4 linked regions of the Bombyx mori genome follow. The main gene of each other region encodes a partner of the protein of the gene in region 3 in a complex. Links are inferred from orthologs where the notes say so. Each region holds a gene or a part of one and is shown on either strand. Other genes may lie near its edges.

Evidence for each region. Proteins that work in one complex are often made in the same cells at the same time.
Region 1: SAP domain-containing ribonucleoprotein (region 3) and THO complex subunit 5 homolog share a complex: the UniProt entries of both Homo sapiens proteins name them as parts of the transcription/export (TREX) complex. The link is inferred for Bombyx mori from reciprocal best matches to the Homo sapiens genes SARNP and THOC5.
Region 2: SAP domain-containing ribonucleoprotein (region 3) and THO complex subunit 2 share a complex: the UniProt entries of both Homo sapiens proteins name them as parts of the transcription/export (TREX) complex. The link is inferred for Bombyx mori from reciprocal best matches to the Homo sapiens genes SARNP and THOC2.
Region 4: SAP domain-containing ribonucleoprotein (region 3) and THO complex subunit 7 homolog share a complex: the UniProt entries of both Homo sapiens proteins name them as parts of the transcription/export (TREX) complex. The link is inferred for Bombyx mori from reciprocal best matches to the Homo sapiens genes SARNP and THOC7.

Annotation. Positions count from the first base shown.
Region 1 is NC_085114.1:10,649,291-10,655,404, reverse strand, and holds the start of THO complex subunit 5 homolog, read left to right. Parts: upstream 1-2,351; 5' UTR 2,352-2,419; intron 2,420-2,438; exon of another isoform or gene 2,439-2,704; intron 2,705-3,081; exon of another isoform or gene 3,082-3,692; intron 3,693-3,772; exon of another isoform or gene 3,773-3,786; 5' UTR 3,787-3,830; coding exon 3,831-3,929; intron 3,930-4,304; coding exon 4,305-4,442; intron 4,443-5,120; coding exon 5,121-5,411; intron 5,412-5,924; coding exon 5,925-6,114. UniProt on the Homo sapiens protein: Component of the THO subcomplex of the TREX complex which is thought to couple mRNA transcription, processing and nuclear export, and which specifically associates with spliced mRNA and not with unspliced pre-mRNA.
Region 2 is NC_085119.1:9,004,141-9,009,702, forward strand, and holds part of THO complex subunit 2, read left to right. Parts: intron 1-1; coding exon 2-171; intron 172-252; coding exon 253-451; intron 452-537; coding exon 538-773; intron 774-1,202; coding exon 1,203-1,320; intron 1,321-1,389; coding exon 1,390-1,522; intron 1,523-1,595; coding exon 1,596-1,759; intron 1,760-2,108; coding exon 2,109-2,365; intron 2,366-2,444; coding exon 2,445-2,604; intron 2,605-3,285; coding exon 3,286-3,534; intron 3,535-4,620; coding exon 4,621-4,841; intron 4,842-5,107; coding exon 5,108-5,276; intron 5,277-5,349; coding exon 5,350-5,463; intron 5,464-5,562. UniProt on the Homo sapiens protein: Component of the THO subcomplex of the TREX complex which is thought to couple mRNA transcription, processing and nuclear export, and which specifically associates with spliced mRNA and not with unspliced pre-mRNA.
Region 3 is NC_085113.1:6,729,617-6,734,425, reverse strand, and holds SAP domain-containing ribonucleoprotein, read right to left. Parts: upstream 2,013-4,809; coding exon 1,221-2,012; 3' UTR 1,129-1,220; downstream 1-1,128. Other genes in the region: S-adenosylmethionine sensor upstream of mTORC1, read left to right, coding at 150-1,097; uncharacterized protein LOC101742851, read left to right, coding at 3,864-3,986, 4,357-4,542, 4,619-4,809. UniProt on the Homo sapiens protein: Binds both single-stranded and double-stranded DNA with higher affinity for the single-stranded form. Specifically binds to scaffold/matrix attachment region DNA. Also binds single-stranded RNA. Enhances RNA unwinding activity of DDX39A.
Region 4 is NC_085129.1:4,006,710-4,012,079, forward strand, and holds THO complex subunit 7 homolog, read left to right. Parts: upstream 1-2,310; 5' UTR 2,311-2,773; coding exon 2,774-2,783; intron 2,784-2,857; coding exon 2,858-2,981; intron 2,982-3,357; coding exon 3,358-3,832; 3' UTR 3,833-3,907; downstream 3,908-5,370. Other genes in the region: solute carrier family 35 member F1, read right to left, coding at 1-354, 730-781. UniProt on the Homo sapiens protein: Component of the THO subcomplex of the TREX complex which is thought to couple mRNA transcription, processing and nuclear export, and which specifically associates with spliced mRNA and not with unspliced pre-mRNA.

The DNA of each region.
Region 1 (6,114 bases), on a different chromosome or scaffold from region 3:
TATTTCCAGCATGTGATCCTCCATTGATCACATTGAATGCTGGTACAGGTAGAACAATGTCATTATTTCCAGCCAAATCAGCCAAGTGCTTGTACAGCGGAACATTCTTCTTGGCAGCACCAGCCTTAGCAACAGCTAGGGAAACTCCAAGGATAGCATTAGCACCCAGTTTGGATTTGTTCTCAGTGCCATCCAACTTAAGCATGAGTTCATCAATCTGTTAATTTAAAAGGTTTACATAGCTGACATATACTTTTTTAAATATATTTAATATTATTTTTAAACTATTAAATACATTTCTTGTTAATATGAAAATCCTATCAATATTAATTCCACTTCAATTGAATGTTAATACCACACTCAAGTTTTTTTTGAGTCCTTTCGAAATATCTACTCTTGTTTGAGATTTAAAAATAATTACCTCTCTCTGTTGGGTTACTTCGAGGTTGGCTTTTGTAAGTTCAGGAGCAATGAGTTCATTGATATTTTTGATTGCGGTCAAAACTCCCTTGCCATGATATTCACTCTTGATGTTATCTCTTAGTTCAAGAGCTTCATGAACACCAGTGGATGCACCAGAGGGTACAGCTGCCCGGAACAAGCCAAGCTCTGTTACCTGTTCACAGAATTAAAAGGTACTTTACATTTTTCAAAGAATTTCAGTAATTTAGTTGTTGATAATTTGTAACAAAAAACTTACCAGATCAACTTCCACAGTAGGGTTGCCACGAGAGTCAAAGATTTGACGAGCCTTGATTGATTTTATTACCATTTTTAATACTGAACTAGACTTTCTAGAAAAAAAAAAATTTTTCATTTTATTTGGAGAGCACTGGCAGTAGTTTAGAAGTCATCATGCCCCATCAACATGGTTAAGACACTTAAAGTATACCGGTATATCTATCTTGATAAAAGGACAAATGACTTTGTCCAATTTACAAAAATAAAAGATGTGTAAAATTGATGGAAATTTTGAATTTTCATTTAGTTCAGAAAAAAACTTGCAATCTCAATCTCAAAAAACTAATTTTTAATAGATCCTAAAGGTTAAATCAATACAAAATTACTATTTTATTGTATTTCTATATAATGCTTAGTATATGTGAATTTTAGATTTGGCAATTTAGTTTCAATTTTTTCAGATATCTTTTTTGTTCATCTGTTGATAGAAATGTATGGGACAAGTCATTAAATTGAAAGTATGATTTAAACCCAGTGACCTCAGGATCATCAGCCCACAGAAATTTACTGCTGTATATAAGCAAGGTTTACCACAATGACTGGTCTTACATAGCCCACATCCAGCAATTTACGCAACCTTTAAAATCTTAGACATAGAACCACCGAGACCTAAAATACAACCACCAATTTCCCATTTAGGATCTTGACACTCTTATTTGCTTAATAAAACACCCCATTATTTCAACTTATTACTACTTCTGATTTCCAAAGCACACAGCCTAGTCACGAGACTTACCTTGAATACTGCAAAAAGATTTATTGTATCGATTGAGGGTATTAAAGGATTAATTCTATTACTTTTACTTCTATTGCTAACGCTAATCGAATGAGATGCGCCGGCAAGGTCAAACATAGGTTGTACAATCATAATTCCTACTTTAAAATATTTTTTGATTTAAAATGTTTATTACAAATTCATTGCGCTCACGGGGTTTAAGAATTAGTCATTTTCAACGGATACAATGAAATTTACGTAAAATTGGATGGCTAATGATCGGCATCTAATTTTTTTGTATTGAAAATTTTTGCACTACTCCACTTTTTTGTAATCCATACACATCATAATAATAATAAATTACAAACCTTAAATTAAGCGATATCCTTATTTAACAAAATTGCACCTTACAAGCCGGGTTTGGCAAAATATAAGGATTTGGTTGCTGGCGCGATTACAGCAGTGATATTTTTGACCTTCTCAAGGTGGAAAGCAAAAACAAATGTCCTTTGTTTTGTGTACTTAAAGAGGCAAAGGGATCATAGTCATTTTATATAAAATAAACTAGATAACTAATCAACTGGGATGAAATTAAATGAAATGAGATGATATGGGATGAAATATTTATGATCTCAGTAAAATGGTGGTCATTTACTGAGATTCTTTCAGTGGACTTTTTGGAGGATCCCGAGGAGTTACGTCTAGCGACTTTGTTTCATTTTCCCACATTTGTGCCCTTTCGCAAATACTAAACAGGTAATAAACCACCATTATCATACATTCAAACCTGAAGAAATACCAAATAGACAAAATAAAACATATCACACAGCTTCACTCCTCGCATTCCCGCCAAAAAGTCGAAATCTATGAGCTGAGAGATGCACACATAGATTATCACATAGGTAATATTTGAGGATGCTTAACTGACATTTACTGACATTTATGGAGAGTTGCTATTGCTGAGTAGACGTGCGCTAATCATGTTCGGAACTGGATTGAACATGACATCGTTCTTTTGAGTGTCGGAACTAGTTCCAGTAAACATGTTCGCGGAACTGTTTAGTTTCACGAACATGTTAAGTCTAGTAGCTGTTTGTAGTTTGTAGCTGTTTAGTTCCGCGGACATATTAAGTCTAGTAGCTGTTTGAAGCTGTTTAGTTCCGCGGACATGTTAAGTCTAGTAACTGTTTGTAGTGTAGCGAATCACGTATTAAGTTATTATTAATTACACAATATTTTTCAAAAAAGGTATTAAAAATACAATTTTTTAAAAGCACTATATAAAAATAGATTGCCGCTTATGGCAATTATTATTGTAATATTATTTTGTAAGGTTTTTAGTTTTAGGTTCATTGTTACAGCTGGTTGCATAATTTATTAATGTACTGTAATTACTTTGTCATAATTTCAACTACTCTACTACTTTCATTATTTTTCAATGTAGGTATTGTACGATGCACCGAAAACTATAACCTATCAGTTGTTAATTAAAATACCACGTTATTCTGATATACAACGTAAATTGAGCTCGTTGTAGCCTTACAACCTTTTTCCCATAACCGAGATACCGAATAGCGAAAGTGGTGAATGTTTTAAAATTCTCGAATTTTGAATTATGATTTTCTAAGAAATGGTCTACAAACACTTAAGGTTAAGTGCTCGTAGGAATGATGCATGGTCAAGGTCAAAATCCATAGCAAAACATTTTAATTTATTCAACTATCGACTGTAACACGTAGGTCGTAGAGCATAACTTCAATATTAATAAAAATGTAATATGAAAGAGCTCCACACGCAGTTTCATGCACTCGCTCCATCTCACTCTCTCGTATTCGTGCCATATGTCGCCTTATCTCTTTACGTGGACTCGTGTCGGTTCGAGACTCGTTCGGGTGGACTCGCCGCGCCACGCCTCCGCGCCGCGCGGTACCTATGCTCTAATCATGTCCGCATGTCCGTCATGTTCAACGCGTTCGTAGTTCCTGCATAACAGTACACTTGGAATGGAAATGGAACTGTCTGAACATGTTAATTTTGACAACTCGGATTGAATGATATAGTTCCATATGAGGACATAGTTCCAGGAACTATTTAGGTCCGGAACTACGCATGTCTATTGCTGAGTAGGTACAATAATGAAGTATAATTTAAAAAAAATCATAGTTAAAGACTACCTTTCAAATTAAAGGCTAACATTAAAAGAAAAATAATTCAAACATTACCGTGAACGATGCTAGTAAAAGCTTTAATATATAAAAACAAATCCAGTGAATAGAGTGAATAGGCAGTAAGGTTGTAATTGTCTGTTTAAATTAGTGATTTTTTTAAAGTTCCAGACTTGGATGAAATCTGATAAACTTGAATAAAACTAAACATGGGAAAAGAAGAAGTAACGGCTGTTAAGAAACGGCGCAAATTAAATACAAGTACATCAAATGACGGAACAAAGCCAGTTCCCGTTGATGTATACAAGGTATTGACCAAAATATATAAGATGTAACATAACCTCAAGACTCATTATTCTGTACCATAAATATGTATAATAATGTAAATTTAAGTACATAGTTCTACTAATAAATGAGAATTTATATTTGTGGCTCCTGGTTTAGCAAGCTGTTGCTTTTATATTTTCTGTTGAAGTTTTTGTTTCAGTTTTAACTTATTATTAACAAAAATAAAAATTAAGTGAATCCTGTTCGTGAAATATCTTGTGATCTTCAAAACAAGTTTAATATTAACACTTAGAGAAGTTGTAAACTGAACAAGATCCCAGTACACCAAAAAAATTGTCTTTATTTTTCAAGATTCTTCATTCATTACAAAATGTGTTTTAAATGGATTGTTCCAGCGTGTTGTTGAATTTGAAGAAGCTGAAGCTCATCTGCGTCCAGCTGATAAGGATGCTGCCTTTTTCAATAAAACATGCCAAGACATAAGGCAACTTTTTAAAGAGATTGCAGAGTTAAAAACTAAAGAAACATTGGAGGTATGCCACTTTTCAATTAATAGTTAATGCAGGACATAATAAGAGTCGGGTCCTACCTCGAGAACAGGATGGCCGTGTGCACCGGGCACTGTGGGGCGGTGCTCCATTTTCCCGTCGAGCGTGGTGTCCCACAGGGGTCGGTCCTTGGCCCTCTCTTGTGGAATGTCGGCTACGAACTGGGTCCTGCGGGGTGCCCTTAGCACTCCTCTCCCGGGTCTGAGCGTAGCTTGTTACACGGACGACACTTTGGTCGTTACCCGGGGGAGGGACATCTTTCCTGTGTATGGGTGGCCTTCGTCGTCTGCAGGAGTATCGCGTTCTGACCCGGCAGGCTGGTTCTGGTCCAGCTGGGTATCCCGGAACACCAGCGGCATCGCCCGGGCGGCCTGGCAGGGCTGTCGTACCGCGGAGACCGGCTTCGTTGTCGTCGACTGTCGCATTGAGGACTCGTCGATCCGGCGTCTTCAGGGTGGCGTCGCGTGTCTGGTTGTAGTGTTGACTACCAGATCGTAAAGTCCCACACCCCCCTAGACGCGGGGACCTCGTAGGAGGTTCGGCACCCGGCTCGACAAATAAAAAAAAAAAATGGACATGATTAGATTATATTATGAATTGTAATTAATGTTAAATAATATAAAATATGGAACAATGCAATTAAGGCAAAAGTTATAATTACAGGCTAAAGAAAAGATAAATGCAAAAAGAGTGGAAGCTTCATTACTGCTGGTTGCGTTAAAGAAATTAAATCGCCTGGAGAAAGTACGAACTAGAGCTGGTCGTGATGCGCTCCATAAAGAGAAACAGAGAGTTGATTCCACACATTTACTGTTACAAAATTTACTTTACGAAGCAGATCACTTAAACAAAGAAGTAACTAAATGTTTACAATTCAAATCTAAAGATGAAGAAATAGATCTTGTGCCTCTTGAAGAATTCTATAAAAATGCACCTCCTGATATTATTAGATCAGTAAGTATGTTTTCACAGTGTGTAACTGATATCTGAATGTACATATTTTAACCGTTTCAGCTCTGAATATTTTTTTAGTTTTGTCCCTAAAATGCTGTAGGTAGCTAAAATCCTGAATTTCTTTTAAATATTGAAGCCAAACTTGAATTGCAATAATATAAACAGTTCAAAACATATACATGCACTCAGGACCAAGAGCTTACCTAAGTTTTTGGGCGATAGCATTGCATCCCAATTGTCATTTTATACATTAAAGCGCTATCGTGCTGAGTAGCATCATAACGGTTAGTAGAAAGTTAGGCATGACAGAAGTATGACTGCTTTTAATCTGTCCTGGTGAGGGTGCCAGTCATATGATTCACATTGTTTCCCCTTACAAATATACATATGACATATTCCACACATATCTCAGACACTTGATACTGAGTACTTGTAACTTTGATACTGATCAGATGAGTTGTTGCAGTAATGGTACTGACAAATTCAACAATATGACAATGTGTAAAATTTTAGGAGGTCACAAAGGCTGATGAACATCAATTACAATTAGCCCGACTGGAGTGGGAGTTACGTCAACGTCGTGAATTATCTGAAGCCTGTAATGAACTCATATCTTCCAAGGAACGAGTAGCAGCTGCCATTGCTGCTGCACGTTCTAGACTTGATGCATTGGCTCCACATCTGAAAGATGTCTTGAAATCCA
Region 2 (5,562 bases), on a different chromosome or scaffold from region 3:
GGTCATTAGAATACTTAGAACTGCTCGCGGTCAAAAAGATGATCCGTTACATTTTGAGGCACTAACCGTTTTGGATACCGCAATATTACCGGCTCTTACACTGATGGAAGGGAATTGTTGTATGGCTGAAGAGGTGTACACATTACTTAAGTTATATCCATATCAGTGCAGGTAAAGAATAATTAATAACTAATAAAATATGCTAAATTACATAAATCTTGATGTTTATTTTATTTTGCAAACTTATTTAAGATACTGTCTCTATGCGCGTTGGAAAAATGAGGCTGGCGAACGAATACCTGCTCTCATTCGTGTCCGGGGGAACTCATTGCAGAAAATAAAACACATAATGAAACGAGTATCCAAAGAGAATATCAAGCCCCAAGGTCGTCTCATCGGGAAACTGTCGCACGCCGCCCCGGCCTTTCTGTTTGATTACGTGCTCTTGCAGGTAATTGGCATTCAGTCCATAAAACAGTTTTACTTCTTCCTTTAATGTTTTATGAATGTGCTATAAAACAATAATTTCTGTTCCAGATACAAACATACGACAATCTGATAGGACCAGTAGTAGAATCCATGAAATATTTGACGTCTCTATCTTTAGATGTTCTGGGATACTGTTTAGTTGAGGCTTTAGGCTCTCGACGTTCGACGCCACCTGCGTGGCTACAAGCACTAGCCTCGTTCGCCGGGGCAGCCTTCAAGAAACACAATATTGAGTTAACTGCTCTTTTGCAGTTTGTTGCTAATCGACTCAAAGCTCAACAGAGGTATGCATTCGGTTACAAAGTATTGTTAGGCGCTGGTGTTCGGAATAAATAAAACTTCCACCGAAGTACAAATTCAAATTCTATTTAACACTTAAAACACTTACACTTCAGGTAATCCGTTCGCCGTTTCGCTTCGAGTAGATTCGGTTACTAATTAATTCTGGGTCATCTCTGCAATGCTTTTATAGTAGATACCACATCCCTAGAATTTTGTTATCGAGAACATACCTGACAAGTCGAGTAGTTTCAATATGTGCTATAATATGTGCTATTTGACTATAGATAGCGTTGTACTTCTTGAGCGTTCTCGATTTTATAAGTTCTTTTAATATTCGTTTCTGCTATTCGACGATAGATGGCGATGCTCTTACCGGCGTAACAGTATGAACAACGAAGATTCGCAATGTAATAAAAATCATATATTTTCAGTCAAGACCTGATAGTATTAAAAGAAATAGTACAAAAAATGGCCGGTATAGAAGCTGCTGAGGAAATGACACCCGAGCAGTTAGAGGCTATGGCAGGAGGTGAACTACTTAAAGGAGAGGTAAAAAAATATTAAGCTGAAGCTAAATCTGATTTTTTGTTCAGTTATTCAAATCACACATTTGTACAGGCTGGTTACTTTTCACAAGTGCGTAACACGAGACGCTCTTCTGCGCGACTGAAAGATGCCATAGTCGGAAACAACTTAGACATATCTCTTTGTATATTGGCGGCGCAACAGAGACATTGTTGTGTTTGGAAAGGTAAATGAATACATCAAATAATACAGTGCTTTTGAGTGAATAATAAGTAAATAAAATATATTGTTATTCCCAGAATACGAAGATGACATTCAAATAAGTGGCGAACCTCCAGGGTCCCAGCTAAAGGTGGTGGGTAGATTGGCAGACCAATGTCAGGATGCTCTGGTTCAGCTTGGTACATTCTTAGCATCGTCACATGCTCCCGATGAATATGCGGCGAGGCTGCCATCGTTACAGGTAATTAATTGAATTCCTAATAAAGTTAATGAGTAGTTACTGCTATTAGGGAGCATAGTGAAGTGTCACCATCCTTCCCATTGCGACCTCTGAACAGTCTTGCAGAAGGGTGGTGCAGCCGTTACATACAATACAATTAAGACTTTATCTCAAGTTGGTGTAATGCATTGATATTGTGCTTAACGGGCTTCGGTTGTAACTACTTCGTACCAGGTGCATTGTGAGCTCGTCGGCCATGAGTAAGACAGAGAGTTAGTATTATAGTAACGCTCAGAAGAGTCAATACTACGAGGCAGTTGTAAACTTTTTGTTAATTTTAGTTTATTTAAATTTGGTTAATTTTACTTAGGAACTGCTGCGTGATTACCATGTAGATGCAGATGTCGCATTCTTTTTGCATCGTCCAGTTATAAACCAAAAGATATCCGCCAAGTTGGAATCTTTACGTAAAGCATCGGACAGCAAATCGGATTCAATAGAGAAGATTATAGAAAGATACAATGTGGCATCAAAGGAAGCCTTGGAGCCTATTGTATCGTCGATACAACCGATGCTGCCTGCGAGGGTTTTAGAAGACATTTCGCCTGAGTTTTACGTTACATTCTGGTTTGTAGAAAAGTTAATAAATAATTTTTATTTAGTACGATTAGAGACATCTGTTTTTAAGTTAAAATAATTTTGTTAGGTCATTATCCATGTACGATCTTCGAGTGCCGGTCGAAAGTTACGAGAGGGAAATAGAACGCTTAAAAACAGCAGCAGCTAACGTCAGCAAGGATTCGTCTCAAGGAACCAAAGTTAAGAAAGAACAGGAACGTTTCAATACGCTCATCGAAAAACTACAGGTAAGATATAAATATTAATGTTTCTTATTTTAATAAAAACTAACAAAGGATATCAACTCAAGGGCATTCATAAATGTTGAACTTACTGATTGTACATTAACAATTCTTAATTCAATTGGAATGAAATCTCGCACAGATTATTCCAGTGTTTATGTATATTGCCTTTTTTCCTTATTGTCCTTGTCTATAAGTTTTTTGCACAAACATTTAATAATATTAAATTACCAAAAATTAAAAAAAATTCTAATTTATGCAGAGTATTACATATATATTCTGCACACAGACTGAAAACAGTTTTTTTTACAGTTATTTGGCCAAATATATGGTATTCAGCCTTGTCCGTAGTTGGCCCGTGAGATGCGTTAAATACTCCCAGAAATGTTTACCTCATCCTTTTTCTTTTTTTTTATTGTCCGAGCAGGCAGACGAGCTTACGGCCCGTAAGTGGTTACCGTCGCTCATGGACGTCAGCAATACCAAAAGTTCCACATGGTACTGGTTTTTTCTCCTACCTATTCTGATAGTCTTGAGAGGCTATTTCCGCTACACCCTAACGTGTGTAGGTGACCCACTGAGAAGATCCGGCGAGAAACTCAGTGGGCAAATGGTACTGTCGTGACAGATGTCACCTACCTTAGATTAGACTAGAGGCGGAAGTGTCAGTAAGCATTTGGTCTGCAGGAGGAGCGGCGCCGACAGGCCGCGCACGTGGCGGCGGTGCGGGCGCGGCTGGCGCGCGAGTGCGAGGACTGGTTCCCGGCGCGGGCGGTCCGCTCCGCCAAGAACGAGACCGTGACGCGGCTCATGCAGCTGTGCATATTCCCGCGCTGCGTGTTCACGGCGGCCGATGCCCTCTACTGCGCCGAGTTCGTGCATACCGTGCACTCTCTGAAGACTCCCAATTTCTCCACTCTTCTGTGTTATGATAGAGTGAGTAGACTGCGAAGAAATTATTATTATTTTTGCACATTTAAAATCATACAAACCGTTTTTTTATTTTAAACAATAGTTTGCGACACCAGCGCCGTACACATCATTAATCCTTCGAGCTGTTTCTGCAGCACTGGTGCCACGGTAGAACTCGTACTCGTAAATATACCGATATTTCATGTTTTCCATTGTGCGGTAATATGCGACGCCAAACAAAAAAAAATTTATGAGGAAAAAACAAATGAATGACTGTTTTCAAAACCTACATGTACCAGCTAAATGAATTTATAAATTTGAATTTGAAATTCTTAACCAAAGAGGAGATATTACAGATCAAAGTGATCAATACGAAAAAACGATAATTTCATATGTAAGGACCTAATATATACAACGTTTTGCGAAAGAGTTTAATTAGGTACTCAATAAATTTATTAATAGTGTTTCAAGAGGTTTGTTACCCTTCAGGTTCATCATCGACTCCGCATCTCTCAAGTTCATGATGATAAAATATAAAATTAGAAGTGAGTTTAAATTCATTTTAAAGAAAACACTACATTCATGCAAAGTACAAGTCAAATTATTAGATAGCATACAATACTAACTTTGGCAAATTGTAAATCATTCGTCATCTTGTGCGATGCATTTCGGATTATGTACAAATTACGATCAATCGACCATAGATGGCGATAGAAGCTTTAGGAGCAAGTGGGAAACGTGCGGCAAAGCGTTGTCGAGATTTATTATTAATGAATATTAAGACATTTATCAAGTGATTAATTTTTTTTTTATTACGATTGCTAAATTTTTCTATTTTAATTATAAGAGTTTTTTTTTGTTGCTTAGATGGTGGATGAGCTCACAGCCCACTTGGTGTTAAGGTGTTACTGGACATTAGATAGACATTTACGACTTAAATGCGCCACCCACCTTGAGATATCAGTTCTAATGTCTCAGTATAGTTACAACAGCTGCCCCGCCGTTCAAACAGGAACGCTTGCTGCTTCACGGCAGAAATAGGCAGGGTGGTGGTACCTAGCCGTGCGGATTGCGAAGACATATTTGACTGAAAAATGAATTTGCCCGCAGTTGTTTTGCGACATCACGTATTCGGTGATGTCTTGCACGGAGGCGGAGGCGGCGCGGTACGGCACGTTCCTCTGCAAGGTGCTGACGACCGCCATGCGCTGGCACGCCGACAAGGACGCCTTCCACCGAGAGTGCGCGCACTACCCCGGCTTCGTCACCAAGTACCGCGTCTCCAAGCAGTTCACTGAAGCTAATGATCATGTCGGATATGAAAACTACAGGTGGACTACATTTCTGCAATACTGTGATCTGATCTTACTGCATGATTAATGTGTTTGCATGAAAATGCTTAAGTCTGAATTGATAAAGTGGTAGACACAAAATCATGAAAGCTTTCGAAAAAGCAACCGAAAATCTTCTGGTGATCTAATATGTTAATATAAACTTATATCGTTCACTCTTTGAATACTTCAAATTAATTCGTAAAAAAATCGATAACTCGTAATCGATACTTCGAATGTTCACTAATCATGTAATCGGTTTTCAGGCACGTGTGCCACAAATGGCATTATAAAATAACCAAAGCAATGGTTGTTTGCTTGGATTCAGGCGACTACGTGCAAATACGTAACGCCCTCATAGTTCTAATAAGAGTCTTACCTCATTTTCCTGTTCTGGCTAAGCTAAGTCAAATTATCGAAAAGAAAATTGATAAGGTATTATTTGGTATCGTACGTTTAACCAAATTTCCAACAAGACAAAGTAAATCTTAACAGTGATTATTTGCAGGTTAAGGAACAAGAGAAAATACAAAGACAAGATCTTTATGTGTTAGCAACGGTCTACAGTGGACAGCTACGGAACAAGTCCTCGAATATGATGAATGAAGCTGATTTCCATCAGGTAACATTTTGCTATCATCTATAGGCGGATTTGTACAAAGACAGGTTCTCGATAGTGAAATGACGACAAGTAGTACAGAAGAGACTTTCCTAATATAAA
Region 3 (4,809 bases):
CAATACAGCATTACTGCTCGCGACTTTACTTTTACTTTCAACATATAGTCACAACAGCTGTTAATTAATAATTGTAACTATTGCTCTGTGTAAATAGAACATAAAAGCAATCGATTTGCTCTGAAAATTCAAGTATCTTTTTTAATAGAATGGCATCCGAAGAACAAAAAGCTTTATCTACATTTCTAAAAGATGTGCATTCTGCCCTAAGAAACTCCACAAGTCAAATCGGGGTCGAGAAAGCTTGGAAGGCACATAGCAAAAATACAGAGATCCTTAAAAAATATGCACAGTGTATGGAAAAATTGGCTACAACATATTGGGAACACAGTGAGACTATATCAAGAATAGATTGGACAGCAAAAATTTGTTATGAATATTTCATAAACAAAACTTACTTACATTACCGTGAACAAGAACAAAACATAGCAAATAAAATGCAACTAAAATTAAACACTGTAGAATCATTTTCAGAAGTACTGAAGTTGGTTGATGTTGGCAGTTGCTATAATCCTTTTAAGTTATATAATTATTTTGATGTTTTTGCTATTGATTTATGCCCTGCTAATGAGTCTGTATTACAGTGTGATTTTTTAGATACACCAATTGGCACTAGAACCGTAATTGAAGACAATAAAGTTAAAGAAATAGGAGAAAATAGCTATGAAAGTGTGACATTTTGTTTTTTATTAGAATATATTCCAACTTCCCAGCTTCGAATAACTGCATGTCAAAAAGCCTATGACATATTGAAACCTGGAGGGTTGCTTACTGTTACCACACCGGATTCAAAACACGTTGGAGCAAATAGCAAAACAATGAAGTGCTGGCGTTATGCATTAGCCTTAATGGGTTTTTCAAGAATTCGTTATCAGAAATTTCAACACATGCATTGTATGGCATTTCGAAAGTGTTTATTGAAAGATGTAGCTATTCGCTGGGCTAATATTCATAAAGAACCTTTTATGGAATATGCACTACATATACCACAAGATTTTAATACTAATGAAATTAGTAAAAATTCTGCCCAAAACCAAGTCATCCATCACATAATTGATGATTTTCAAGAATTGCCATTCTATAACATGAACGAATGATTTAATATGTAATTAAAATGCTTAACAAATATTGACTTAGTAGAATGTTTTATTTATTTAAAACAATACTTATATACTAATCTTAATTTGTTAGAGTAGACTTTCCATTATCAGAAACATGTTCTATGCAACAGCACCAAATTTGGCTTTACGTTTTTCCAATTTCTCCTTTAGTTCAATATCTGTCATTATTTTGGAAACAGATTCACCAAACCTCTCTGCTCGCTTTCTAAGTTTTTCCATATTTTCGTTTAACGTCCCTGTACTAGTGAAGGTGTTCTGATTATCATTTTGATTAAACCTTTGTTTCCTGGCTTCCTTTCTCTCAGACTCGGACATTTTAATAGGCAAACCAAATCTTTTAGCACGCAACTCTAACCTTTTCTTTGGATCTAGATCAGTATTTATTTTAATGACATTATTACTTTCGGATGCCGTTTTCGGCTCTACAGATTTTTCATTAATTTGATCATCAACAGTTTTAGAACTGACAAGTGAAATTGATGAGGGTCTATTCAACACAATTTTCTTTGCACTAGCATTTTCTGCACTTTTATCTTTGGTTTCTGCGTTGGTTTTGCGTTTTAATGTTCGTGTTGATTTTGTTTCTACAGCGATTGTCGCAGTAGAAGACTGTTCCGAAAGAACTAAATCTTCGTTTAAAGTGTCCACGGCAGTATCATCAAGTACGTCTGTTTGGCTTTTAACTTCTTCGTCTTCAAAAACTCCGTCCGAGTCCATTTCGTCAAATTCAAAGTTGATGTCGGTGTGTTCATCTTGAGATATAATTGCAGCTTGTAGTCTAGCGATTAACTCTGCTTTGTCGCCGGCGTATGAAAGTCCACGTGATTTTAATTCTTTACGTAGTTCAACAACTTTCATCTTAGTCACATCGGAAACTGTTGAATCCGCCATAGTAATCAAAAGTAGTTTACGTTATTGAACAAGGAACTTTTAGAATGCTTACACGCGATGCTTAGCGTTAGCTTACACTAGAAATTAGAAATACGAAGTGTATAATCTATGTTCACTACTTTTTTTAAGAGATTTTATGACCTGGTAACTAACACTTTTAGGTCATGTCCTACTTTAATATTTAATATTCTTAATTTTATGAAAAATTATATGGAGTAAAATGAAATTAAGTGAAGATGATTAATTTGAGACATTAATCAACCAGAATGAAATTAAATTAAATAAGATGAGATGATATGAGATGAAATAAATCTTAGTCAAATATTTACGGAGATTTTATCAGTTGACTTTTTGGAGGATCCCGAGAAGTTACGTCCAGCGGCTTTATTTCATTTTCCCACATTTTTGCACTTTCACAGATATTAAACAGTTAATAAACCACCGTTATTACACATAACGGCCATCTGGTGTAGTGGTAAGTGACATGGTCACTACACAAGGGGGTCGCGGGTTCGAATCCCGCCAAGGGAAGATATTTGTATGATAAATATAAATGTCTTTTCCAGGGTTATGGATGTATATTAAATATATGTATGCGTATAATAAAAATCTTACATTTAAATCCGTTATCTGGTACCTGTAACACAAGTTCTTTACGAACTTATCACGGGACCAGTTAACGTGGCGTGATTGTTAGTAAATATTTATTTATTATTATTTATTATTTAAACCTGAAGAAACACTAAATAGACAAAATTAATCAAATCACACAACTTCACTCCTCGCGTTCCCGCCAAAAAGTCAGTTAGATTACAACGTAAAATGGAGCATAGATTACACGCTTAATTAAAATAGCTGCGAAATTTACACAACAACGTAAGTACCTGACAGACTAAAAGAGGGTAGAAGTTTAAACAGCACAATCTCTGAAAAAATGTGTGGAAAAGTGATTAAATGACTTTTTTACCGGGAACCCGGCATTGTGTGAATTGATTAATTTTATTTAATTTAGAATTTCATTTCGTCATGCTTAAACGTGTTATTACGGCAGCTTAAATTCCGATCCGGTGATAGATTCTGCGAAACACTCCTCTTGCTAGAGCTAGTATTAACAAACTTTCTCAGATTGAGCAGGTTGTAAGTTCACCCATCCGCGAGAACCTGGAATAGGTAGGGAAAACATTTATGTAATTAATAAGTACAAAATCTCTAAAAAATGTTCCAATTATACGCCGTATTTCTAATCAAGTGATATTAAGAGTGTTCATGTCGTAACTACGTTCATGCTTTGAAATTAGAAAAAACTTGAGTCTATCCAAATGATCGGAAATCGGAATAAAGTTCACAATAGAGTCATACAGTCATACACAGAGCATTTAGAAAGATAGGCGAAAGTTTCTATTTGATTAAAGCCAATGAGGACGTAATTTGACTACAAACAAAGGTTGAAAAATTTATTAAATGTATTAGTATGTAATTTTAAAATATTTTTCATAAAGAATTGGTTGCCTGTAATCAGCGACACTATTCAGTTATGTGATTTTATTTAAAAAAAATGGTCGAAGCCCATTCATAGATAAAGATAATCCTTTTTAAATCACTTAGTTATTGTGGAGTTTCTTCCGTCAGGATTATAGTGTAGGTAGGTATGTAGTCTTTGGTTATGCATTAAATTTCCGTGCGAAATTTCAATTCATATCATAACATTAGAGGGTAGCTACTTATTTAAAATTTCAATGAAAATCCAGTTTGATGGGCATAGATAATACCTACATTTAATAGAAGATTTATGGGTAGTTTTTAAAAGTAACGATACGCGACTACTGTCGTCAATTCAACTCTGTAACCATAATGGACGGTGCAATCAATAATGATGATCAAGATCAAATTGTGGAGCAACTTCTTAGTGAATACGACGAAATAATTATGCCTCTGCCGGCGTATGCGTCTGAACCTCACCTTCTAATTTCTCGGGTATAATTACTTTCAATAATAAATTTATAAAAAATTAGATTCACTACAAATCTATGGCAATTTTATCTGTTGAGTAACTTAATTACTAAGGTAAAATGAATGCATCGAAACACCGGAACAAAAATAAGATAAAACAATGTTTAAAACGAAATTACATTAAATCGTCTCCCGAAAACCTTAATTTTTATGAACTCCCAAAGCCAGTATTAGAGATAAAAAATTGGCATGCTTGCATCCCAGTTGCTGGTTAGTGATAACTCTTGCTCACATTTATAGAATACAATTGTTTTGTTTCCTTTCCTTACAAATAAAACAATAGTTAATTAATTTAAATTCATAATTCGATAATAATAGTTTTTTGTTATTTAAGGTCCGCAAATCTTATATGGATTATATGGTGCAACTCTTAAAAGTTAACTATGAAACAAGCCACCGAATTCAACACCAAAAACTCCATTTTCCCAGTGCTATTTGGAGATGTGCTAAAAACATAGAAATGAAAGCAGCACAAAAATGTATGATTGTACAAATTTATAGAAAATATATTGGATCTGTGGTACATGTGCATAATATTAACAAATAAAATTGTTTTAATCATTAATTTAAAAAAATAAAACAAAGTTTTGTTGTAGGTTCAGGAATTAAAAAAAGATACAAAGAATAAAAAGATTAATAAAAAATTATATGAATACCTAAATAAGCATCCAGAAAATGATAAAAAAGTTCAAACAACATTTATCAATCAAAATGCTTGTACTTGTCCATGTGTTTGTATGAAACTTAAGAGAAGACGTAAAAATGATACTCAAAGTACACCTGAGAG
Region 4 (5,370 bases), on a different chromosome or scaffold from region 3:
TATACATGCCAGCGATCACAGTGTAATAGTCAGCAGACAGGAATGATAGATGCAATAAAATAGACCCAGCATCTCTCAGCATAAAACATTGTAATATCTGGAATATTGTTTGTACTGTGCAGTAGCTTCCCAATTGCACAATCGTCTCTAACTCATACCAGTTAAAGTTCATCAATTCAAGGAATTCCAGAAAGAATGTTTGAGTGCAAGATACAAAGCTACCCACAATACCGAGGATCGCTAAATAGTCTGAGCATGTATGAGTTTTGAGCATCAGTTCTTGAAGCACTGTGACTGTTGCAAACAATAATGATCCACCAAGGCATAGCATATCGCCTACTAGTTGATTTTTACCTGAAAAATATCAAATTCATTTTCAGAATATTTTAACTTATTTCAGTAACTGCATGATTTAATAAAGGGTACACATGCATCAAATAAACACAACAAGTACTTCAATTACATTATTAATTACGACAAAAACATTGTAATACACAAAAAAATATTACTCCAATCAAAGTAATTAAATTATTTTCCAAGCAATTTAAAGTAATATTCAATTATGCTAGCAAAAGCTAGGACAACTTAAGTTGGCATTGCACTAGTATAACCTGGTAACCACTTTATAACAGTAACCACTCTACTGTGTGTTTATTGTCTAATTAGATTCACTCATCAGGGACATCAATAAAAATGTTACCAATCTACCTAAGAATGAAAGAATGTTACCATCAGTAGGAGCACCCTCAACATCAGCCCACACAACGCAGACTACAGCCATCAGGCCAAGGGTGGCTCCAGCAACATGAGAAACACCAAGTCTCTGACCACTCCAAGCACCACCGACCAGTGCTGCACCAACACCACTGCATGCTAACAGCTGTCAGCTCAACACTGATGTAAACCTCTGTGACATGACTAGCAGCCAGCCAGCTTCCACGTCAAGAACACAGGCAATGATGAGTACCCACCATCTTCTAACAACAAAATTCATTTCATTAGTTGCATTGCCCAATTAACTACTAAATATGGAATCTTTTATTGAAATGAAATACATGATTTCTATACCTAGGTATGTAATTATTTTTTTGTTTCATCTCTTTTTTAAGTAGAAATACTTGATTATTATTTAACATTTACTTTTTTATTTAACTATCTATTCAGACAGTCATCTTTGAATTGAACATTGAAAATTTAAAGGTTAATTAGGCCAGCTACCATTCCATTTCTTGTATTAATAAAGAAAAAAGCAAAACACACAACAGAATGCACAGAGCTTTCCAACATGTCACAGCTGATACTAGCTTGAATTAAGAAATGTTTTTATACTTTATTTTGCTGACTAATAAAAAGAGTAGAGCGGGAAGTTATCCCAAAGCAAAAGAATAAGAGAAAATTATCTCGATAAATGTAACATTTTATAGTTAGATTTAAATATTGGTTACTTCCACATTTGTAGTAAGAAGATATTAAGAAAACTTAGCGCACTCACCATTGAACATAAGATAGTAATAGTACCTAGTAAGTTTAATTATTTTAGTCTTGTCTTATACTTCTTTCAATAATAGAACTGGTTTAAAAGACGATATTTTTCATGTCTTAAAATTGAATTGGAACTTACTTCGTTAGCTTCTCCAGCCCGGTACAAAGTAGGCTCGGGGTAAAGAGTACAAACAGTACTAAATACGGCACGACCAGCTGCCCCGTGATAGGAAACTGCCAGGTTGCGCTTTGTAACATTGTTGTTAATATACATTTGCCGCTCAGAAATAAGGATAACACTTGACCAAGCAGTATGCTCCTCCACACTTTCCTGAAAATGCACACTTAGTTAGTTTAAGGACGTTTACCCAAAAAATATTTTATTTATTTATTTATTGATACTAGCCATCGCCCAAGTTCCGAGAAATAAATCTCGACTTTATCACTGAAACTTGACGTTTCCATTGTTTCAGTGAAAGATATTCCGAAAGTTTACTCAGCTAATTTACTGTTAAAATAGATTCAATAGTTTAAAGGGTTTAATATAGCAGTTATTCATCATTTCCTGAACAATGGATCGAAATTCGAAAGGCAAAACAACATGTGAATTGTGGTTGTGACATCTGTTTTTTTTTCTTGTTTGGCAGGCATCTCATAATAGTCTGTGGTTTTCTTTCGTCCATTGAATGAGCAAAGGGAAAATAGCCGATCAAAATCTTTTAATTAAAATAAAAAGGTTAAGCTTTGTGTTCTTAAAATCTTAAGAATTTAATCAGCGTTCAATTAAATTTTGAGATCTCAAGAAACCACGGTCAGCAATTTTGTTTCAATCAATTTTGACAGGAATGTGAAATAGTAAAGTTGTAATACTGTGTGAATGTTTTATTTAGTTTAGTTTTCTTCATCTTTAAATATAAAAATAGTTATCGTCTTATTTATATCATTTCATTTTTTATGCAACAGATATGATTTCAGGCTTTGTCGTAAAATATTTAGATAAAAAGAAGAGCATTTTTAACTTATGAGAATGTCTCCTTTGCCTATGAGTTGGATAAAAAAAACTTTTTTTTTATTAATAATTTAACCTGCCAAAATTTGGAGATAAAATATTTTTAATTTTTCTTGATTTTTGTAAATAAAACACACAAGTTAGCACTTACATATAAAGAACAAGGATAAATTTGAATTCGCTTATGATAAGATTATTTTGTAGAATAAAAACATTACCTAACAATTTATAAGGCAAACTCGGACGAGATCATAATTTCATTTGAATTTTACTCCAAACATAATGGGTGACGGTAAATAACTTTACCTAAGAATACAAAACTACTCAAAAACAAATACTATTTCAATACTCATTGGTTATTTCCAGAAGATGTGATTCGTAGAAGACTTCTGATCGACGGTGACGGTACTGGAGACGACAGGAGACTGAATGTACTTTTAAAAACTTTGATAAAATGGTGCAATACAACGGATGACAAACCGGAAGAAAGGTTGGTTTTAATAAATAGTACCGTATTAGGACGTATTGTGAGCTCACATGCGTAAACACTGTTCCACTTCCGAATTATCATAGCTTCCGCATTGATCATAGCTTCCAATTTGAAGGGTAGAATTGCCATTGTAAATTCAATTGAAACTTCTATCTCGTGTCCCAAAGGTTCTGGTAAGCATTTAATACCAGCAGGGAAATGTTGGCATCTGTTTATCTATAATAAAGAGCCTTAATATTCAATTAAGTGTTCATTAACCTTTTCATTTATTCCCCATATACATTTGTTGTTTTATTATGAGAATAAAAATCTGCAGTCAAAATGTAAGTTTTTGTAGTTCCAGAATATGTAATACGATTAAGATTTCTCGTTTTAGTAAAGCTACTCATGATCGTATGTTAGCTCAACTGGCACAATGCGAATTTGCTGTCACAAAATCGCAACTCGGTTCTGAAATGATGGCTGCTGAATTAAAAAGCTACGAAGCACTCTCGAAAATTCTAGAAAGCGGAATAGAGGTGGCCAAAGAGAACATACAGAAGAGCAAAACAGATTTAGCACAAGCAAAGACTGTCAGAAAAAACAGAATAGAATATGATGTCTTGGCTAAGGTTATCAGTGAACAGCCTGATCGTAAGGAAACCTCTGAGAGATTGAGCACTCTGAAGACTGAACTAGCAAACTTGGAAACCACCAAACAGCAATTGGAAAGTCGGTTAGCATTACGAAAGAAACAATTTCATGTGCTTGTAACTTCAATACATCAATTACAAGCATTATTAGATGAACTAGATGATGCAGAGACTATTTGTGATGATGTTGATATGAAAGAAATATCAAATGAATCATAATAATGAGTGATGTATTAGAGTATAAGATTATTTCTCTATGTGAGATTTCTAATAAAGTATGAATTTTCTACTTGATTTTTTGTTTACATTTTCAGTACTGTAAAATGGGGAGAATTGGGACACTTTTTAAGTTCGACATTGATTTGTATAGTTTTTTTTTGTTTTAGTAATAAAACGGAGATCATAATGGTTCTGGAGGCTTAAATATTTATATACAATGCGTTACTATACATTGTTCACTACAAAAATACACAAAAACTGAAAAAAATAGCTTGACCCCATTCACCTTGGCTTTGGGGTTGAATCAGGTTACGTAGGGGCCCGCGATCTGGACGGGACCTTCAGCCCGCAATGATTGCGTGCTGTGGGTCTCGTCTGCGGGGGAGATGCTGGACTTCCACCAGGCGCGTCCGTGGGTGGCGGATCACGGGATCCTCTGGGCGACATTCCCAGAGGTATGGTCCGATCTTTTTCGTTGCGAGGATTCTTAGGTTTAGGATTAGGTTTAGATGTAGGTTAAAGTCCTAGGTTTAGGATTAGGATAGTTTAGCTAGGCTTTGCCTGGTAGATCCTTTGTTGTTTTCATGACTTGTCCAAAAGTCACACTACATAGTGATCTAATGCAAACATTAAATTATGAATCGCAAATACCTTTTTTTTGTTTTAAATGGTTTCTATAAGGTTTACCTACGGTATGTAATCAAGTCGTGAAAGTGTTGTCACATCAAAAATCCCAGAAAATATCTGGTTGAAAGAAATAGCAAAAAATTTATAATAGAATACCAAACTTCCAATAAAAAAGCTAACCGGTGGTGATCGAGATATATGATTAATTGTTAAAAAGTGTTCCGTCGTTTGTGGTCTTTACAACGCCATAGGGACAGCCAAATGGCTACCATCCATTCAGAACTACAACCGCTTAACACTAGATAGATCGTAAATTCTTTGGACGATGTACACCAATAAATAGAAAACACGCCCTATTTAAGCAAACATTAAATGGTTTAAATTAATTTGTCATCAATAAAGTGCTTTATAATCGTCAGTAGACCGTGACCACTAAGGCTGTAAATCTTCGAAACATAGGAAATAGTATAATAACAGAAAAAAGTCAGATTAAACCTTAAAAGTAGTTGTAGTTGTGTCTGCGATTCGCGAAAACTTTTCTCTGCCTATTCGCTGAAAGCTTAAGAAGCTATTCCAGCTAAGTGCGGACGGTTCGGTGAGCTCACAGGCTCAATCCGAGAGAATTGGCTAACACTAGCTTTAGCAAGAGTAGTGCTTCGCTGAATTCACGACCTGATTGCGATCCATTGAGAAGGTCCGGCGAGAAACTCAGTGGGCTGTGTCTATGGGGCAAAAACTGAATAATATACTACAATTATTTCAAGGTGAAACAGCAGAGTTAGAGTAGTTAAGTTCGCAACAGACCTAATCTGTGTTGCGTGTCGAAAGCCTCATTAAGCGCAGGTACTAAGTAGGTATAGTATATGTAGTATATGTATAATATATTTATGTATACGAGTATTTACCTAAAT